Linked DNA regions of Neurospora crassa OR74A. The protein of the gene in region 1 purifies or fractionates together with the protein of each later gene. This does not show direct contact. Links are inferred from orthologs where the notes say so. Each region holds a gene or a part of one and is shown in the gene's direction. Other genes may lie near its edges. The genes, in order: NCU04121 and NCU09688.

Region 1 (8,715 bases):
ATGCGCTGGATGACGCGGTGGCAGTCGTGGAACCCCTTGGTGATGGACTGCGTAAGCTGCTCTATCTCACGTTCCTGGTCCCTCTTAGCCTCGTCGTCGTCAAACCCCGGCAGTACGTGCTTCTGATGCAACCGCTCCAGCTTCTGGCTCTTGCGGGCGATGTCGGCCAGCAGCTCCGCCACTTCGTCCGACGAATCCGCCCACCGAGGCGGAAGCAGGTCCATCTCGATCACCGCATCGCCGTCGTCGACATCGTAGGCCCCCGCGGATAAGAGGCCGCGCCGGTCATCGTCGGCAGAGAAGAGGACCCCCGTGCTGCTGCCAGCCCCGCCGGAAGTCCCGCCGAAGCGGTCGCCTGGGTTCTGAGGGGCATATCGGTTGCGCTGGGTCGGGTGGTGGGCGTAGGACTGCCGGTACGAGATATAGCTGTGATAGTCACATGGATGTTAACGAACGACTCTCATCTCCGGGGGGTTCAAGAGAGTTCCCCGTACAGATTAGTGCGGTCGCGCCACATGGCGGACGCCGGAAGGGCGAAAGGCTCCCTTCACCTCGGTTGCACGCCGAAGGCTAGTCGTCGTCTCGGTCAGAGGTGAGAGTCAATTGATGGTAGTTAGTGGTAATGGCGGTCCAGAGGCGGATTGGAATGGGTATGGCATCACATCGCATCGCATGGACACGGCTGTGTATGTGGTCGAGGTTGAGTTGCCAATGTCTCCGTCCCTGGTCGATCTTCCCGGGGGGAAATGTTTCTAGGCCTCTCTCTTTCACTACCTACCTACCTATGTAATAACAGCAACAGGGCCAGTAGCACTGGGCAGCTGCTACCACTGACAATGACGCTGACGCGGCGGTTCAGAAACACAATGCTGGCCAGTTCCAGGGATGGGGGGCATGAATAACATGGGATGCATGTCACCTGTCAGGCACTTGGGGCCCGCCAATAAGGGGTAGCCTTTGTCAGTGTCTCAAAGAGTCGGTCAGCTGGCAGCCTGGGGGACGGGAGCTTTCAGCCTGTTAACAGTCTGGCCCGTCTGTCCTGGGCTGGGGCTGACGACCTACACCTCCAGTGGTGATGTATCCCATGCAGAGGTTCCAGGTAGGTTGCAGCACCTGCGAGACGCCGGGATGGGCTCCAGGGCATCTTTAGTTTTAGTCTCATTTTAGCGAGTGTGTTACAGTTAGGTAGGGAGGGACCCCGCCCCGCCTCCCTCCACTCCATGCTTCGCAATCGGCGGCCCAGCTGCTCATTTAAGGAACGTCGAACTAGGAGAACGGGGACTTGGACCTACCTGGTAGGTAGCCAACGGGTCTCGTTCGTTTCTACTGGGGGACCTCCATATCTACCACTTCCAAACCAGAACACCTTCGAAATCCTCCTTCGAACACATCCAACTATCTCACACGCTCGCTCTCCCCAGACCCTCTATCCACCCCTTAATACTATATCAAGATGGTATGCTCATTCCTTATCTCGGTGCCTCCCGGTCGAATCTGTTTGAGCGCAACAAGAACCCCGCGGGTTAGCTCGAGGGGCTGCGGCCGGGCTGCGAACATACGATGATGGCTGGAAAGGAGACGGGTGACTGACAAGGCTATCAACAACAGGCGGACTCCCTTACTGAAGAGCAGGTCTCTGAGTTCAAGGAGGCCTTCTCCCTTTTTGTAAGTTGTTTTTCTTGCGCCGAGCTTCCTTGTCGCCTATGCTCAATCCCCTGTGTCGCCGTTTGGCGCAAATCGTGCGAGCCTGATGACTGACCCGACACAACGTGACACAGGACAAGGACGGTGATGGTTAGTCTTCCGAAACCCTACCCCCCCAGATATCCGAATTCATCCACCACCAAGTTAGCGGCAAGCGCCTTGGATCATAGTAGTTGCGACGCACCCAACGCTTCTCACCGCCCGCCCCTGAACCGAGTTGCGATGTGAATACGAGCCCTACCGTAATGCACGCATACTGAACAGCAGCTAGGCCAAATCACCACCAAGGAGCTCGGTACCGTCATGCGCTCGTTGGGCCAGAACCCCTCCGAGTCTGAGCTTCAGGACATGATCAACGAGGTCGATGCCGACAACAACGGCACCATTGACTTCCCTGGTATGATATAAACATTTCGGACTATGGACCTGCCAGCTCGCCGCTGACAATAGCCTATAGAGTTCCTTACCATGATGGCCAGAAAGATGAAGGATACCGACTCCGAGGAGGAGATCCGTGAGGCCTTCAAGGTGTTCGATCGCGACAACAACGGCTTCATCTCCGCTGCCGAGCTCCGTCACGTCATGACCTCCATCGGCGAGAAGCTCACTGATGACGAGGTTGATGAGATGATCCGTGAGGCCGACCAGGACGGCGATGGGCGTATCGACTGTACGTCTTCAATTCATGCGACTCAGCCTGGGTATAGCTTACTAACACCTTGTTTCCAAACAGACAACGAGTTCGTCCAGCTCATGATGCAGAAGTAAACGGCTTTCTCCTATATTCCAACTCTACACGAAGACAGGTTTTAGCGTTCTCTTTGAATACCACTATTAGTTGATATGCCTCCATTCGGATGTGAAGGGATCGCTTTGTTTCCCACGCTTGGTATGTTATGCAAGGATCACCTGTGTTCTCGTGGTTGCGCGTTATGCTGGACTGTTACCTCTCCTCCTGCCTCAAACCACCGAGTTCGGGAAGCAATGGGGTGAAGTTGACATGGATTGACGCTAGCACCTCAAGTTTCTCTCCGTTTGACTTTGTGTCCGTGGCGGTTCGTCTCCAAAGCAGTTATCAATCAAATCTTACTCCGCCTTTGCTAGTGAGGAGCCATTACCCACGGTGTTGTCTCCCAAGTGGAAGCTGTACCACATGAGCAAAGGAGCACTTCCGTCCGGAGGTTCAGATGAAACCCTACTGTTTGCTACATAAACTTTTCAAATGCACAGCTGCTGAGTTCACGTCATCAGGGACCACCAGCAAGACCGGAGACCTGTCAACGAGTGGGGATGACCTGCAGGATGATTGTGGCAGTGTTGCCTAGCGACATCAACCATCAAGCCCAGGCCGAATATGTGGATATCATCAGCCCTATAGGGATTTCCATATCGTACACATCCGTACGGCACAGCATCTAGAAAATCAACTCATCTCCCGATCACCGTTGATGTATGGAGGATCAGGTCATTGTCGGTCAGTGATGGCTGTAGGTTGCGCTGAGGCTGTTTGCTGCTTGTGATGCCCTCGTCAATTTCATCAGTATTGTGACCATAGATGAACCGCATGTTCCCCAAAACTGAAGCTCGATGATACAGTATTCGCACAGTCAATTGTCATATGGCCGAGCTTGTCAGTTGACAAACGCTCATTGCTGTCTTGTTGAAAAGCAAATAGTTAAGCATTGCTGTCGCCCTCATGCTCGATGTGTTCAGGACTGGTCCAGTACAGAATCAGCACTGACGGTGATGATGAGTAGCCTATTAACTTTTCTTCAGGACTTGAACAAGCTTTACATGTGTTTAGCCTTCCTTCTTCAACAAATCGCCGGCGTCTCATGCAAATCTTGACGGAACTCATGCTCTTATTCATCTTTCATCCTCACAGATCTAAGCGGTGACAAGATAAGGCCGCCCTACGTAGGTATCAAGAAGAGCAATGTCTGATGCTGTGGCTGGTCTCGGACAGGACATTCATCATTTTGACCCTAACCCTGATTACCCCTTTTCCGGCGAGGCCGTCAGGGTGCCTGACAAGACGGTCTAGGCCCCACCTTCCCGCCGTACCGAGTCGTTGCATCGCAGCTGAGGAACAGCACCGTGACCTGTCCAGGGTCCCTGAGGTCCATGCTTTTCAGAGAGTTTGGCGCCTGCCGTCGCGTCGTTGCCGGGAAGCTTTGCAGCAGAGAGGTGCCTGCCTGAGGCCACGAGTCCCAGTACTGTAGTACCTACCTCTAGTGTACCTACCTAGGTATCTACTGCTGCCGTGGTGCTGACCGTCACCGTCTGCCTGGGGCTGGGAGCGGGCTGGGAGAGGTCAAGTCAAGGTGGGGGGTGGACACACACGGTCAAGAGGAGCTCCAATAAGCGCATTCCATGGCCACATCGCACGCCCGCCCATTGTGTGCTGGGCTTCCACTTGTCGTGTTTCGGCCGGGTTCCCAAAAAGATGATCCTCTCTCATGAATGTCTACGTACCGCTGCTTTACCGTATCGTAACTTTGTCCATTGCGTGCCTCTACTTTCTTCGGATACCCCTTGCTTGAAATTCCAAAGAACCGCCATCCGCTCTCCGTTCCGCAGCTCCCCCGCCATCTCGAGAGCTCAAGCATCCGCTACCACTTCCTCTCTGGTCCAGATCCCCTAGACAGGCCCCCTTGCGGGCCCCTAATGATTGCATCGCCATGAGTTCCCGTAAGTGAGCCACCGGCATCGCCATGGTCCCAAGCCTCGAGCGACCAGGACGAGGCCAAAACTGACGCTTGTAATCGGCAAACAGTCAAGCAGTTTATTCGCAATGTCCGAGCCGCAAAGACCATCGCCGACGAGAGAGCCGTAATCCAGAAAGAGAGCGCCGCCATAAGGGCCAGCTTCAGGGAGGAGAGCCACGATCACAGCGTCAGGTGCATCTGAGCTGCCAATACCCAAGCTTCCCCGGGATCTCGGTTTGCTGATCAACTGTGTCATTGCAGGCGCAACAATGTGGCCAAGCTATTATACCTCTTCACCCTCGGTGAGCGCACTCACTTCGGTCAGATCGAGTGTTTGAAGCTCCTGGCCTCTCCGCGCTTCGCCGACAAGCGTCTGGGCCATCTCGCGACAAGTTTGCTGCTCGACGAAAACCAGGAAGTGCTTACTCTGGTTACCAACTCATTGCAAAAGTATGGTGCCCAGGAAGACGATTATGGGTGCGCAACGTGATGCTGACGCTCGGCTCGACAGTGATCTTAACCATTCGAATCAGTATGTGGTGGGCCTCGCCCTCTGCACCCTCGGAAACATCGCATCGGTCGAGATGTCTAGAGACCTGTTTCCCCAAATCGAAACACTTATATCGACGACAAACCCATACATCCGGCGCAAGGCAGCTCTGTGTGCGATGCGCATATGCAAAAAGGTCCCGGATCTCCAAGAACACTTTGTCGAGAAGGCGGCGCAATTACTATCGGATCGCAACCATGGCGTGTTGCTTTGCGGCTTGACATTGGTGACCAGCCTTTGTGAAGCTGACGAGGCCGAGGGTGGGGAAGAGGGCATCATTGAGAAGTTCAGGCAGTTCGTGCCGGTACTCGTGAGGACTCTCAAAGGACTGGCTTCTTCCGGTTATGCGCCGGAGCACGACGTTACGGGCATCACCGACCCGTTCTTGCAGGTCAAGATTTTGCGCCTTCTCCGAGTCCTGGCCCGCGGCGATGCTCAGACTACGGAGCAGATCAACGATATCCTCGCTCAGGTTGCGACCAACACCGACGCTACTAAGAACGTTGGCAACTCGATCCTTTACGAGGCCGTACTGACGATTCTCGATATCGAGGCCGATGCCGGCTTGCGCGTGCTGGGAGTCAACATCCTCGGCAAGTTCTTGGCTAACAAGGACAACAATATCCGTTATGTTGCGCTAAACACGCTGGTCAAGGTGGTGGCCATCGACACCAACGCTGTACAAAGACACCGGAACACCATTTTGGAGTGCCTTAGGGACCCCGACATCAGTATCAGGAGGAGAGCTCTTGATCTGAGTTTCACCCTAATCAACGAGAGCAACGTCCGCGTCCTTATCCGAGAATTGTTGGCTTTCCTGGAAGTGGCGGATAATGAGTTTAAGCCTAATATGACTAGCCAGATCGGTATCGCCGCTGATAGGTACGCCCCGAACAAGAGGTGGCATGTCGATACGATGCTCCGTGTCTTGACGTTGGCCGGTAACTACGTCAAGGAGCCCATCCTGTCCTCGTTCATTCGCCTTATCGCTACGACTCCCGAGCTACAAACGTACGCCGTGCAAAAGCTTTACACCAACTTGAAGAAGGATATCACCCAAGAAAGTCTGACGCAGGCCGGCGCGTGGTGCATCGGTGAATATGGCGACGCTCTTCTCAGGGGTGGTCAGTATGAGGAGGAGGAGCTCGTACAGGAGGTCAAGGAGCATGAACTTATCGACTTGTTCACAACCATCTTGAACAGCAACTACGCTACCCAAGTCACCACCGAGTACATCATCACGGCACTCATCAAGCTCACCACTAGGCTGCAAGACGCAACCCAAATCGAGAGAGTTCGCCGTCTGCTTCAGTACCACCAGACAAGTCTGGATGTCGAAGTTCAACAGCGTGCGGTGGAATACGGCAACCTGTTTTCTTTTGATCAGATCCGTCGTGGTGTGCTTGAGAAGATGCCTCCTCCTCAAATCAAGGAGTCCTCCCGAGTACTTGGTGAAGCTGCCAAGAAGACCACCAAGGCGGCGGGCAAGAAGACTAACAAGGCTGCCAAGCCCAAGGAAGAGGATCTCTTATTCGACCTCATGGGAGACACCAATCTCCCGTCTCCTTCTGTTCCCAACGGCGGGACGAACAATGCCGACCTCCTTGCCGATATTCTCGGCGGCACCACTTCGCCTCCGACCTCGGCCTCGCCGGCTCCCGCACAGTCAAACGTTGCCTCGATCATGGATCTCTTTTCGCAGGGACCTACCTCCACTCCGTCTCCCGCACCTGCACCAGCGGCTGCTCCATCAGCAGTCCTTGATCTCTTCAACACCACTCCGGCCGCCGCTTCGGCTCCGGCTCCTCAAGCGGCGCCCAAGCCCGCTGCTGCGGCCGGCCATGCTTGCTACGACAACAACGGACTGAACGTCACCATCCAAATACAGCGAAATGCCGAAGGCATGATCCAGGCTACGGCTCGCTTCCGCAACTCGTTCCCTGGCGGTCCGCTTTCGGCTGTCGGGTTGCAGGCGGCGGTGCCCAAATCTCAGAAGCTACAGCTGCTCAATATTTCGTCGACGGATATTGCGCCGGGGGCGGAGGCGACGCAAATGATGAGAGTCGCGGGTTGCACTGGGGTAGGTTCAATTCAGTTTATGTCCTTTTTCCATATTTAGATAAAGTTGCTAACAAGTTTTGTGCACAGGCTTTGCGTCTACGTCTCAAGATAGGATATACACACCCTACGGCGGGACAGGTATTGGATCTGGTCAACTGGACGGAGCCCTCTTGAATGGACGATGGGGAAGGATGAGTTATGGAGGGGGCAGCAAGGGTGAGAGGGGAGAGAGAAGAAAGAGTGATCGTAATGTTAACGTATTAGCTATTGAATGGTCAAGTCACATACCCTTTGATTACAGGGTAGACCACAGAGTACCGACAAGAAACAGGACAAGGTATAGAGAGGAAACCAAAACGAAGCAGCCGATTTATTGCCAAGGCGTACATCGTTACTAAGTCTACTATTCTTTTGCAGACTGTTTGCCGAGGGCTCAAGCATGCGTATTTCAAGTTACTATCTATCCCCTTCTCTTCACCCAAAAGGCTGTGAATCTCCATAGTAAGCACTCGGTCATTGCGCTTATCACTTTAGCACCAACCCTCTGTTGACATTTGGTTTTATTTGTTCATCTCCCACTACTCAAGTCCAGCAATCTCTCACCCTTTCCTCTTCCGACCATGGTTGATGATCAGGCAGTCAGCCCGGTATTACTAACAAGAGTTTTATATCCATAGCTCGTGCTATCCATCTGTCATTTATCCAACACAATGTGCCTGTTTGGCGCCGCCATTAACGCCCTCTTTGTGGTGTAGGTAGGTATAAATATGCAAGTGATTGCACATGAAAAATTGTTGAGAAACAAAGACAAAGGAGAGAAAAGAAACAAAAAGAAGAAGAAGAAGAAGATGCCTCCTCCATAAAATACATGGTATCTTTTTTTTTGGTGCTTGTTTTTGGTTTGATTTTCCACATCCGATATTCAGTCACTGAGTGACATCCCAGAAGAGTTTTTTAGTTGCCATAAAACCAGTACCTATTTTTCCAACAATGTTAGCCACCATCCCGTCCCGTCTTTGTTTACAAAGTTTTCATGAGGTAGTTTTGAAGGGATAGATAAAAAAAAAAGACTTACTGAGCAGCATACTGCACCTCGAAATGCTCCGGCATCCCCTGACACGTCTCGGGCGCGCTTCCTCCCGCCGTCTCTACCCTATACACCTCCTGCAGTCCGCCCGTCGCTCCCGGGCGTGTAACCAACTTCAACCAAGCAACCGCCTTTTCCCCTTGCTGGCCCCTCGGCGCCGCTTCTGGGGCAGGCGTACTGCTGTTCTTGGCACACGGCGCCTCACCAATCTTCCACTGCGAGGCATCCATGTTGAAAAAGGGCGTGGATGCGTTGGTGAAGTAGTGAGCGCCTGAGACGGCCATGCCGGAGGTGGGCGCGAGGGTCTGTTTGAGAAAAGAAGGAGGGAAAGGGAGGGCGGAAGCGACGGAGGAAGCGATGGAGGCGAGGTCGGAGAGGTTGAAGTTCAGGGAGACAGTGGACAACATGGCGCCGATGTCGGGGTAGGCGGAGACGATGCAGGAGGCGTTGAAAAGAGAGGCGACGGCGCCATTGGCGACGGGAGCCGCGGTGGGGGTGGAAGGGTCGCAGGTGTAGTTTTGGGTGCCACGGCCGAGGGCGACGTGGCGGAGGGTTAGGCCGAAGGAAGGAGGTGGAAGGGGAGAGGGAGCTGGAGAGAGGGTGAG
Region 2 (8,823 bases), about 4.1 Mb from region 1:
AAAGGTGTATGGATGCTTGCTGTGTGGGAAGGCGCAGACTTCAAGACCGGAAAAAGAATTGGATCGTGGGTAATTGTCAATGCTTGAGACAAGGTCCCTATTTCAATCACTATCGCTGTTGAAGGGAATGTCGCCTAGTATAAACGTTAGGTAGGCGGAGTAGCAGGGAAGAAACAGAGACTCCCAAGAAAACAACAAGATCCAAGTTCGGTGAGGGTGAAGTTGGTTGTTGGTAAAAATGGCGTGGTGGTGGTGTCGAACATTAAAAAGTGGTTGGAAGAAAAGCCAATGGATGGAAACATGCCCCGGAAACATGAAGGAAGGATTCGACGAAGACGGGAGAGGACCTAAACACTCACCAACAAAAAAAAGGGCGGACCACCTCACATGTTCTGGCAGTCACGCTCGGTGACATTTTGTGCCCTGTACCTACCTAGTGGAAGACGGTGGGATGACAGGACGGTTTGTAGCGCCCGTCTTGGCCTGGAGTCAATGATGGATACTTCAGTTACTTCAGTTCAAGTTGCACTAGACTGGACTGTGCGAATTGTCTCAACTTCTTTTCCATGTGAGCTTCAAAGATATCAGATGTCAGTGGGAGAGTGGGCGGCATCTGATAGTGTATTCATGCTCGTGTATGAACTTTTTGCACCGTGGGGGGCCAAATGGGAAAAACGGAGATGGAAGAAGCTCATCAAAGCGGAAAAGCACGTGGGAATCACAAGCCCCAATTCCTTCCATACTTGTAGCGCTACCTAGTACCTAGAGGTACTTCTGGACCTTTTCACCCTTTCTCGTACATGAATGAGCCCATCGATTGACTCCGTAATCATCGTTCGAGCTTGTTATTCCTTTCAAAGCATGTCGTGACTGACTATGCGAGACCAATCCGACTACCTATGTAAGAAGGGCCTACCGAGTTTTCGGATATGGTTTAATTGGGATCCGTTCCCAAGAATTATTGGATACATGCCGTGAATCTGTAGGTGGGTTCCTCCCAACAAACATTCCATGGTGTTGTTTCTTGGTCTTTTTAGTGCCAAAGGGCAACGCCACGTCGAGGTCAGGCGGCCACAAGATGCAGCTATCTCCGAGGCTGGAATTAATCATTGCTTCTACTCTTGTGCTCGACAAACCGGACGTCCAAGGAAGCTGTGGTTTGTTTCGTTCTCTTCCCCAGTTGGGCAATCCGCATTGGGATAGCTGCCGTGGCTTTCAGCTGTTTTCACATACAATCCCCATCTTACTAGCCTTGCTGGCCAGTCCAACACTTTAGAAACGAGACCCTTAATCACACTTGCGATGCCATTTTACAATCGGTATCAGACATGATTGACACCATCGCGGACCCGTTGCAACTGTGCACGTTGACGTGCCCTGATGCTCTGCATTAGCTGCTGCTACGTATACCGCCCATGTAGGTGCTATGTACGCTGTATGTACCCCATACGCCGAGCTGCAACTCTGCGCTGGGTTCAATGGGTACTGCTGGGCTGGGGGTAAAGGCGCAAAGGAGGCCATTCATTGTGAGGTTTGTTGCTGTTTTTGTTGCTATCGCGAATCCCTCGTCCTCTTGACCCCTTCTTGACTTTCAAACGTTGCCTTTGGCACTGTTGTCCCTCCCTTGGCCGTCAATCCTACCACGTTACCATGAATATTGGCTACCAACAATCGATCGCCGTCGAGTCCAAGTACCACTAACAGTGTGAGGCCCTCTGTTTTTGGAACCACATACCACGAAAACGGGACTGGCGAAACGGGGGTGGGAGAAAGAGACAGCACACAAACATGGCCTTGGAGAGCATGTGAATTGATGATGACGAGCCTCGAACGGCACGATCGGCATCATCTCACTAACTGCATCCCAACAATTCCAGCAACATGGATATAGTAATAGCAGACATCTGCCAACTGCAACGGTATCTGTCTGTGCTTGCCGATCGCCAACAGCGATGTTGATGATCTATACAACTGAACAACTGATGTACTGTCAATCACCAGACGTACTGGCTCATCACAACTTATATAGCGGGTTCACACCTCCAAGTCTCGTACCGTCTTACCGCCCGTACTTTTGACCAAATCTTATTTCCAAGACAGCAACTTTTGGCGACTTGGGGCAAAACCGCCCATCGTATCCAGCATGTGTTAGGTAAAATAAACGGACCTAAGCCACCAAAACGGAAGAGAGACTAGTCTAGTTTGCAAACCCTTTGTCGCAGTCCCAGGGATAGCCTGTCGATCCACCATCACATGCAAGGCGAAAGACTGTCGGTTCTCCCACGGCCACTTTCTGTTTCCCTGCACCATATCGAAGCTCCTACACTACACCAATCCATCCCCACGACTACACTGGCGAGACTAATGTCCACACCAGCAGGCAGCCTTTCAGGCTTTTCCGGACACGGTCAATACCGCTAGTGGCGGGTTGTTGGATAAATCCGCATTCCGGAACATCGTGATTGTAGGCGTTCCTGACATTCAAACTCCCATTTGAATTTCCTATGTTGCGGATTTGTTGTCTTGCTCTCCCCGAAAATAAGGGTCCAGGGGTCCAGCCGCACTAATCAAGCGAGGAACAAGAGGGAGAAAAAAAGAAAGAAAACAAAATAAGGGGGAAAAGACGTTGACTCGGTGAAGCTGCCGAGATGGGATGTCTCGTCCAGAGACACATATCAGTCTACTGCGTAGCTGCCTGGCATGGCTGGCACGACTGGTCGACTGGCTCACGCCGGCGAGGAACGAAAAAAACCACCACTACCAGCGCCACGGGATTGGGAGCACCATGAGCACTAGCTGATCATCACGTGCGGATTTTGGCGTTTCTTGGGAGCTGAGCCGGTGAAACGCTCCTGACTGCGGCACCGACTCCGGCATTGACTTTCGGCAGTGTGTGTGTGGTGATATCGATCACTAATCAACCGGAGAGTGAGAGCATGTCGAGTGCAACGGGCCGACTGAACAGGTCCGCTTCCAAGTTTTCGTCCGTCATCCGTCCCCTCCGGCCAAGGAACGAAGGAATGGCTGCTCCGATCCCAAACACAAGATTTACCGGCCGGCCGGCGTGGACAGACCGCAACACGGGTGGGTGGGTGTCCGACGGCGTAAAACGATAATAAAATATAGCGCTTTGCGCGCGACACAACGATCAACGTCAAGACACACAAAAAGGTTCAAAACACCAAGAAAAAAAACAACTTCTACGATGATGGAATGTGTGGAACCTCTGACGCCGCCCTAGTAATTTTGGTCATCTTCCCAAAGGCAGACAACATACATGGGCAGCTCTTATGGAGCCATTTGAAGAAATCAATCCCCTTCTTCTCCGCGTCGCGAAATCGCAGAATCACCATAGGACACGGTTCGAACCCCGACAGAATGCCGGAGCCGATGTGCATTTGCGATGTTCGGCACTGTCTGAGGACGCGTTGAAGAAAAAAAAAGAGGAGAAAAAGGTGCAAGATTGAAAACGACGGAAGGGTTTCTCTAAAATACTTGCGAGGAGCGGAGGAATTTTGGGTGGATCTGCCAGAGAAGCACAGACCTTTTCTTTTTTTTTTCTTTCTCGAAAGACGGACAAAAGTTCAGCTGGGGCCGATGGGAAAGAGAGTCGAAAGTCTGCCCCACTTCCTTCCATCGGAACACTTGAGTTGTTGGGTCTTGCGCCGACGACGATGACCTAGAGAGCTCGAGCAGCTGGACTGGAGACCAATTAACCCCGATTCTCTGATGATGCTCCCGTCACGGAAATGAAATGGCAGCATCATGATGGAATGGAAAATGTTCACCTTCGACCCTGCCAAGACTTACCAAGCCTTTCCCTCTTGGGTGTGGATGTGACTTAGCGAGCCTGGCAAGGCTACGGGGACCAGCTGACCGACAGCTGGAGCTGAAGAAGGTTCCACGTCGAGACTTGTCACAAAGGGGCGGAAGCTCGCTGACCACGAGTGCTTGGCATTGCTGCTTGGTGCTGTGAGCTCTGTTCTGGGCTGCAGTGGCATTGCTGGCCGCCAGGGTGTTCTTGGCCTGTGCTTTTCGAGATCTGGATGCACCATCGCTTCCATGTCACCACTTGTCGCGACGTATTGATAGCGACAACTGCACACACTCGTCTTCAGTTGCAGGATAGGTATCGTGGCTTGCCCGCGCTACACCTTTGATAAACAACAACGACTGTGATACTTTGTTTGCAGTTCTTGACCCTCAGCTCCTCGACAGGATTTCAACCACCTACGGCGCATGTTATAGCCCATTGACGAACCGAGTTCGAACTCACTTTTGGCGCTCGCGCCTACCATACTCGATTACCCCCCCTAATCGTAGCTTGCGCCTTGTATTACCAGTGCCCCTCCTCCGTTTCCGTCAACACCTTCTCCTCGACCACGACGCCGACGACGACAACAACAACTCTCTACACTCAATCTCCTCAGACAACAACAGACACCACAGCTTACCATGGCGTCCGCCATTTTCTTTCTAGATCTCAAGGGCAAGGTGGGAAAATGCTCATCTGGTGGTGTCGCAAAGTCCACAGCAAAGCATCCAAAGCTGACCGCCCAATGCGCCCTCACTTAGACCCTCCTTGCCCGTAACTACCGCGGTGATATTCCCATGTCGGCCGTCGAAAAGTTCCCTATTCTATTAAGCGAAGCCGAAGAAGAGTCGTCCGCCGTACCACCATGCTTTTCCCACGAGGGTATCAACGTATGTTATCTACAAGCCCGTCGTCGTCGTCGTCCACCCTGCTGCTGCTGCTGCTGCTGCTGCTGCTGCTGCTGTTGCGAGAACCTCTTGGGCCACAGATTTGCTGAACACTTTCTTCGGTCATTTAATATATATAGTACCTCTACATCCGCCATAATAACCTGTACCTTCTCGCCCTCACAAAACGCAACACCAACGCCGCCGAGATCCTGCTCTTCCTGCACAAGATCGTCGAGGTCTTCACCGAGTACTTCAAAGCGTTGGAAGAGGAATCGATCCGGGACAACTTCGTCATCATCTACGAGCTCCTGGACGAGATGATGGATTTCGGCTACCCGCAAACGACCGAGTCCAAGATCCTGCAGGAGTACATCACCCAAGAGTCGCACAAGCTCGAAATCCAAGCGCGCCCGCCCATCGCCGTCACCAACGCCGTCTCATGGCGATCCGAAGGCATCCGCTACCGCAAGAACGAAGTGTTCCTCGACGTGATCGAATCCCTCAACCTGCTGGTCTCGGCCAACGGCAACGTCTTGCGCTCCGAAATCCTCGGCGCCATCAAAATGAAGTGCTACCTCTCCGGCATGCCCGAGCTGCGCCTGGGCCTAAACGACAAAGTCATGTTCGAGACCACGGGGCGCACCACGCGGGGAAAGGCCATTGAGATGGAAGACGTCAAGTTCCACCAGTGCGTACGCCTGTCGCGCTTCGAAAACGACCGCACCATCTCCTTCATCCCGCCCGACGGCGAGTTCGAGCTCATGTCGTACCGCTTGAACACCCAAGTCAAACCCCTGATCTGGGTCGAGTGCGTGGTCGAGTCCCACTCCGGTTCGCGAATCGAGTACATGCTCAAAGCGCGCGCGCAGTTCAAGCGCCGCTCGACGGCCAACAACGTGGAGATCATTGTGCCGGTCCCCGACGACGCCGACACGCCCCGGTTCCGGACGAACGTGGGGAGCGTGCACTACGCGCCCGAGAAGAGTGCCATCGTGTGGAAGATCAAGCAGTTTGGTGGCGGCAAGGAGTTTTTGATGCGCGCGGAGCTGGGTCTTCCTAGTGTGAGGGGCGACGATGAGCACGGCGGTGGCATGACGGGTGGATTTGGTGGCAGTATGGGTGGTGTCGGTGCCCCCGGGAAAGGAGCCAAGAGGCCGATTCAGGTCAAGTTTGAGATTCCATATTTCACCACGAGTGGGATTCAGGTGCGGTATTTGAAGATTACGGAGCCAAAGGTAAGACTTTTTTTTTTCTTTCTTTACCCATGTTTCTTCTAGCACCTGTGGCTGCTAGTTACTGACGATTTGAAACAGCTACAATACCCCTCCTTGCCTTGGGTCAGGTACATTACGCAGTCAGGAGATATCGCCGTCAGATTGCCCGACGCGGTATGAACGACGAGGACTTGGATACGGGCAAGAAGAAGCCTTGTTTTTTTTCTTCAAAACAAACGACAGATCGTGGAACAGAAAACCTACAATTTACCTACCAGCTGGGTGGGGCATGAAAGGGAGCGGCCGCAGAACAGGTATTAATTCTGGCTGCCTCATTGAACACATTGGCCTGTCCTCAGTCCCTGCCCCCAGGTCGACGAGATATGCCCTACCCAGAACGACATCCCAGGTCGTGGCTCCGATGTACAGATGGGGTAAAAGGAGAGAAGAGACTTATGGCGTATGTATAGTAATGATGGCCCTGACACGACATGGATGGACTAAGTAGAAGGGAGAAGCGGTTGGTTTATAGGTAGATGATGCGTAGGTGCCACACACCGCAACATGACGTCCATGTCAAACAATATTCGATATAATATTTCTGCATGAACACAGTCCTGTCAAGTGGTGGTCGAAGAAGTTGGAAAAGTTGGACACGCGTGAATCAGATCAGTGTGCCCGGGTCGTCATCCTCGAGTGCAAGGATGGATTGATGGGCGGTCCTGATTTGGCATGCCTATAGCCACCCGTCTCCACCTTTACTGTGGAGGAACTGAAAAGGGAAAACAAATTATTTTTCAGACCCCCACGTGTACAGGAGACTGGCAACGTTAAAGGAAGACAGGATGCCAAAAAAAAAAAAAAAAAAAAAAAAAAAAAAAAAAAAAAAAAAAAAAAAAACCTTCTCTCGATGGCCTATGTTACCGTATGCAACCGATTTCCACGATAAGGCTCAAAAGCCCGCAAAGTCAATAAAGAAACACAAGGTAGTAGTACCGAATGAAAAAGGGCCTCCCCCCCTTTTGCCCCCGAACATTGGTTGGACGAGCAGCCCAGCCCTCTCTTTGTCCAAGCCCAACTTCAGGCTAACATTACGGCAAAGGTGGGGGAAAGAAAGTATATACAAAAGACTGGCTGACACAGGCATCGCGTGATAGAAGGAAGTAAGTACTAAGGTAGTAAACAGTCAGGGGTAAAGTAAACAAGAGACGATCATCATCCACTTCTCGGCCTGCCGTGAGTGGTATTGATGGGTGCAACAGACGGGGGTAATACCAAAATGCAAAGAATACTGACTCAAGAAAAGAATGAAAGAGGAAAATCGAGATACAGACAAGTGCAACAAGGCATGAGAAAAAGAAAGAAAGAAGAACAACATGGTGACAAGACTGATGGCTCATCAATGGGTCCCGACATCTCGAACCCATGCTCGATTAGCCTCAAACTCACTGATGCTTGCAGTCTGATCTGCGTAATGTTCACTATAGTGTTCGGGGGATACTCCGGGAGCTTGATAGAGATCCAGACACACATGGACCAGGAACCCGCGGGGAATTGCGTCAGCTTGAGGGGGGTCTAATCAAGGTCAGTTGTTGAATCGTCAAATGAAATGCGGGCGATGACTTGAGAGGCTCACAGTATACTGGTGCTGAGCTAGGCCCTTGCCATAAGTTGTGCGTCCACAGCTGTTGTTCAAACACCCAACCAGGATAGCGTGGTGGACTGTGAAAGGCCATGAGACCAATTACGATGGAGATTTCTCCAGAAAGGCCTCGAGACAGCGTCTGTGGCTCTTGGTGGTTTCTGAACACCTTAGGTACCAAAGATGGCATCCATGATGGGTTCCTGCCAGCAACCCAGGGGTGCCCATACGATTCACCATTCGCTTGGGAAATGCCATTGTTGTGGTCGAAGTGTAGCATGTGCCAACAGCGGGCCGAGTCTTCGACATAGGTGTTGGTCCCATGATCGCCCACATTACGCATGTAGCTATTGTAGAGGGATATGTCTCCGTCGGCAATGATGAAGGGGAGACATGGTGAGCAGGCAAATATGCTGTGTGCCTTGTAGTGGAAAGCTTGACCCAAGAACTGGCCATGCTCATGTCTGTAGATCCCGCCAGGTTGGCCCTCAACCAACCTGCGCCACGCATACTCGGGGGCTTCGGAGACGATCCCATCTCTGTACCGAAAGACAGGCGCTTCGTTGTTAAGCCGGTAACCATTTCTAGTCAACGGCGGCAAAGTATTGTCCCATTGATCCCTGGGGGCAGGCGAGTTGCCGTAGGAAACCTCGTATTCAATCACCGAGAACAGGAAGGACACAGGCTCGACTGAAAACTGAGAGTTGTAGGTTGCGGTCGAGCTTTTCTTTGACGATGACTTGTGCTTGGAATCTCTGCCGCTGCTTCTATGATGTCGTTCACCATAGCCGTCGCCATGCAAGCTGGTTGTGGACCTTGCGTGATGGCCCTGGGAAATGTTAGCACTGTCTACGAAGCAATGAATGAGGCTGGTATACTCACGTGTGAAGTCATAGTCTCCGTGGGTTGATAGAAACCGGGGCTGGATCACCGAAGTTGAAGATCTCTGGGCCATAAGATCTATCAGAAATGACAGAGATGAGCTCCATCTTTAACCCATTTTCAACCTCCCCAAACTTCGACGAGAAACCGATGGAATGGTACGCTAACGCAGCGATGATGCCCAACAACATCCATGGTCTGTATTTTTATGAAATTAGGCGGAGCCACAACATCATCATACCACTATGATGCGGAATAAGGCCAAGTGGCTTGCCTTTACCACACCTCAAGACACGTGAGACCGGGTATGACAATATCTCGCGGAAGCCGACGGAGGTCAATACCCAGTGCGGCTTCAGATGTGACCAGCCAAAGTTGTTG

The links.
Region 2: the proteins of NCU04121 (region 1) and NCU09688 purify together in Saccharomyces cerevisiae (affinity purification with mass spectrometry; 5 studies listed by BioGRID). This does not show direct contact. The link is inferred for Neurospora crassa OR74A from reciprocal best matches to the Saccharomyces cerevisiae genes APL4 and APM1.

The regions. Positions count from the first base shown.
Region 1 is NC_026505.1:4,909,988-4,918,702, forward strand, and holds NCU04121 (AP-1 complex subunit gamma-1), read left to right. Parts: upstream 1-4,083; 5' UTR 4,084-4,385; coding exon 4,386-4,395; intron 4,396-4,480; coding exon 4,481-4,604; intron 4,605-4,673; coding exon 4,674-4,862; intron 4,863-4,923; coding exon 4,924-7,042; intron 7,043-7,110; coding exon 7,111-7,197; 3' UTR 7,198-7,586; downstream 7,587-8,715. Other genes in the region: NCU04119 (SNARE complex subunit), read right to left, coding at 1-426, 495-517; cmd (calmodulin A), read left to right, coding at 1,454-1,456, 1,609-1,665, 1,779-1,794, 1,976-2,101, 2,162-2,374, 2,438-2,472; NCU04122 (malate dehydrogenase), read right to left, coding at 7,978-7,999, 8,099-8,699. UniProt on the Saccharomyces cerevisiae protein: Adaptins are components of the adapter complexes which link clathrin to receptors in coated vesicles. Clathrin-associated protein complexes are believed to interact with the cytoplasmic tails of membrane proteins, leading to their selection and concentration.
Region 2 is NC_026505.1:832,257-841,079, reverse strand, and holds NCU09688 (AP-1 complex subunit mu), read left to right. Parts: upstream 1-4,063; 5' UTR 4,064-4,455; coding exon 4,456-4,494; intron 4,495-4,575; coding exon 4,576-4,704; intron 4,705-4,841; coding exon 4,842-5,939; intron 5,940-6,017; coding exon 6,018-6,098; 3' UTR 6,099-6,524; downstream 6,525-8,823. Other genes in the region: NCU09687 (hypothetical protein), read left to right, coding at 877-901, 1,038-1,157, 1,422-1,531, 2,002-2,051, 2,223-2,421; NCU10659 (hypothetical protein), read right to left, coding at 7,318-7,493, 7,555-8,389, 8,443-8,454. UniProt on the Saccharomyces cerevisiae protein: Component of the adaptor complexes which link clathrin to receptors in coated vesicles. Clathrin-associated protein complexes are believed to interact with the cytoplasmic tails of membrane proteins, leading to their selection and concentration.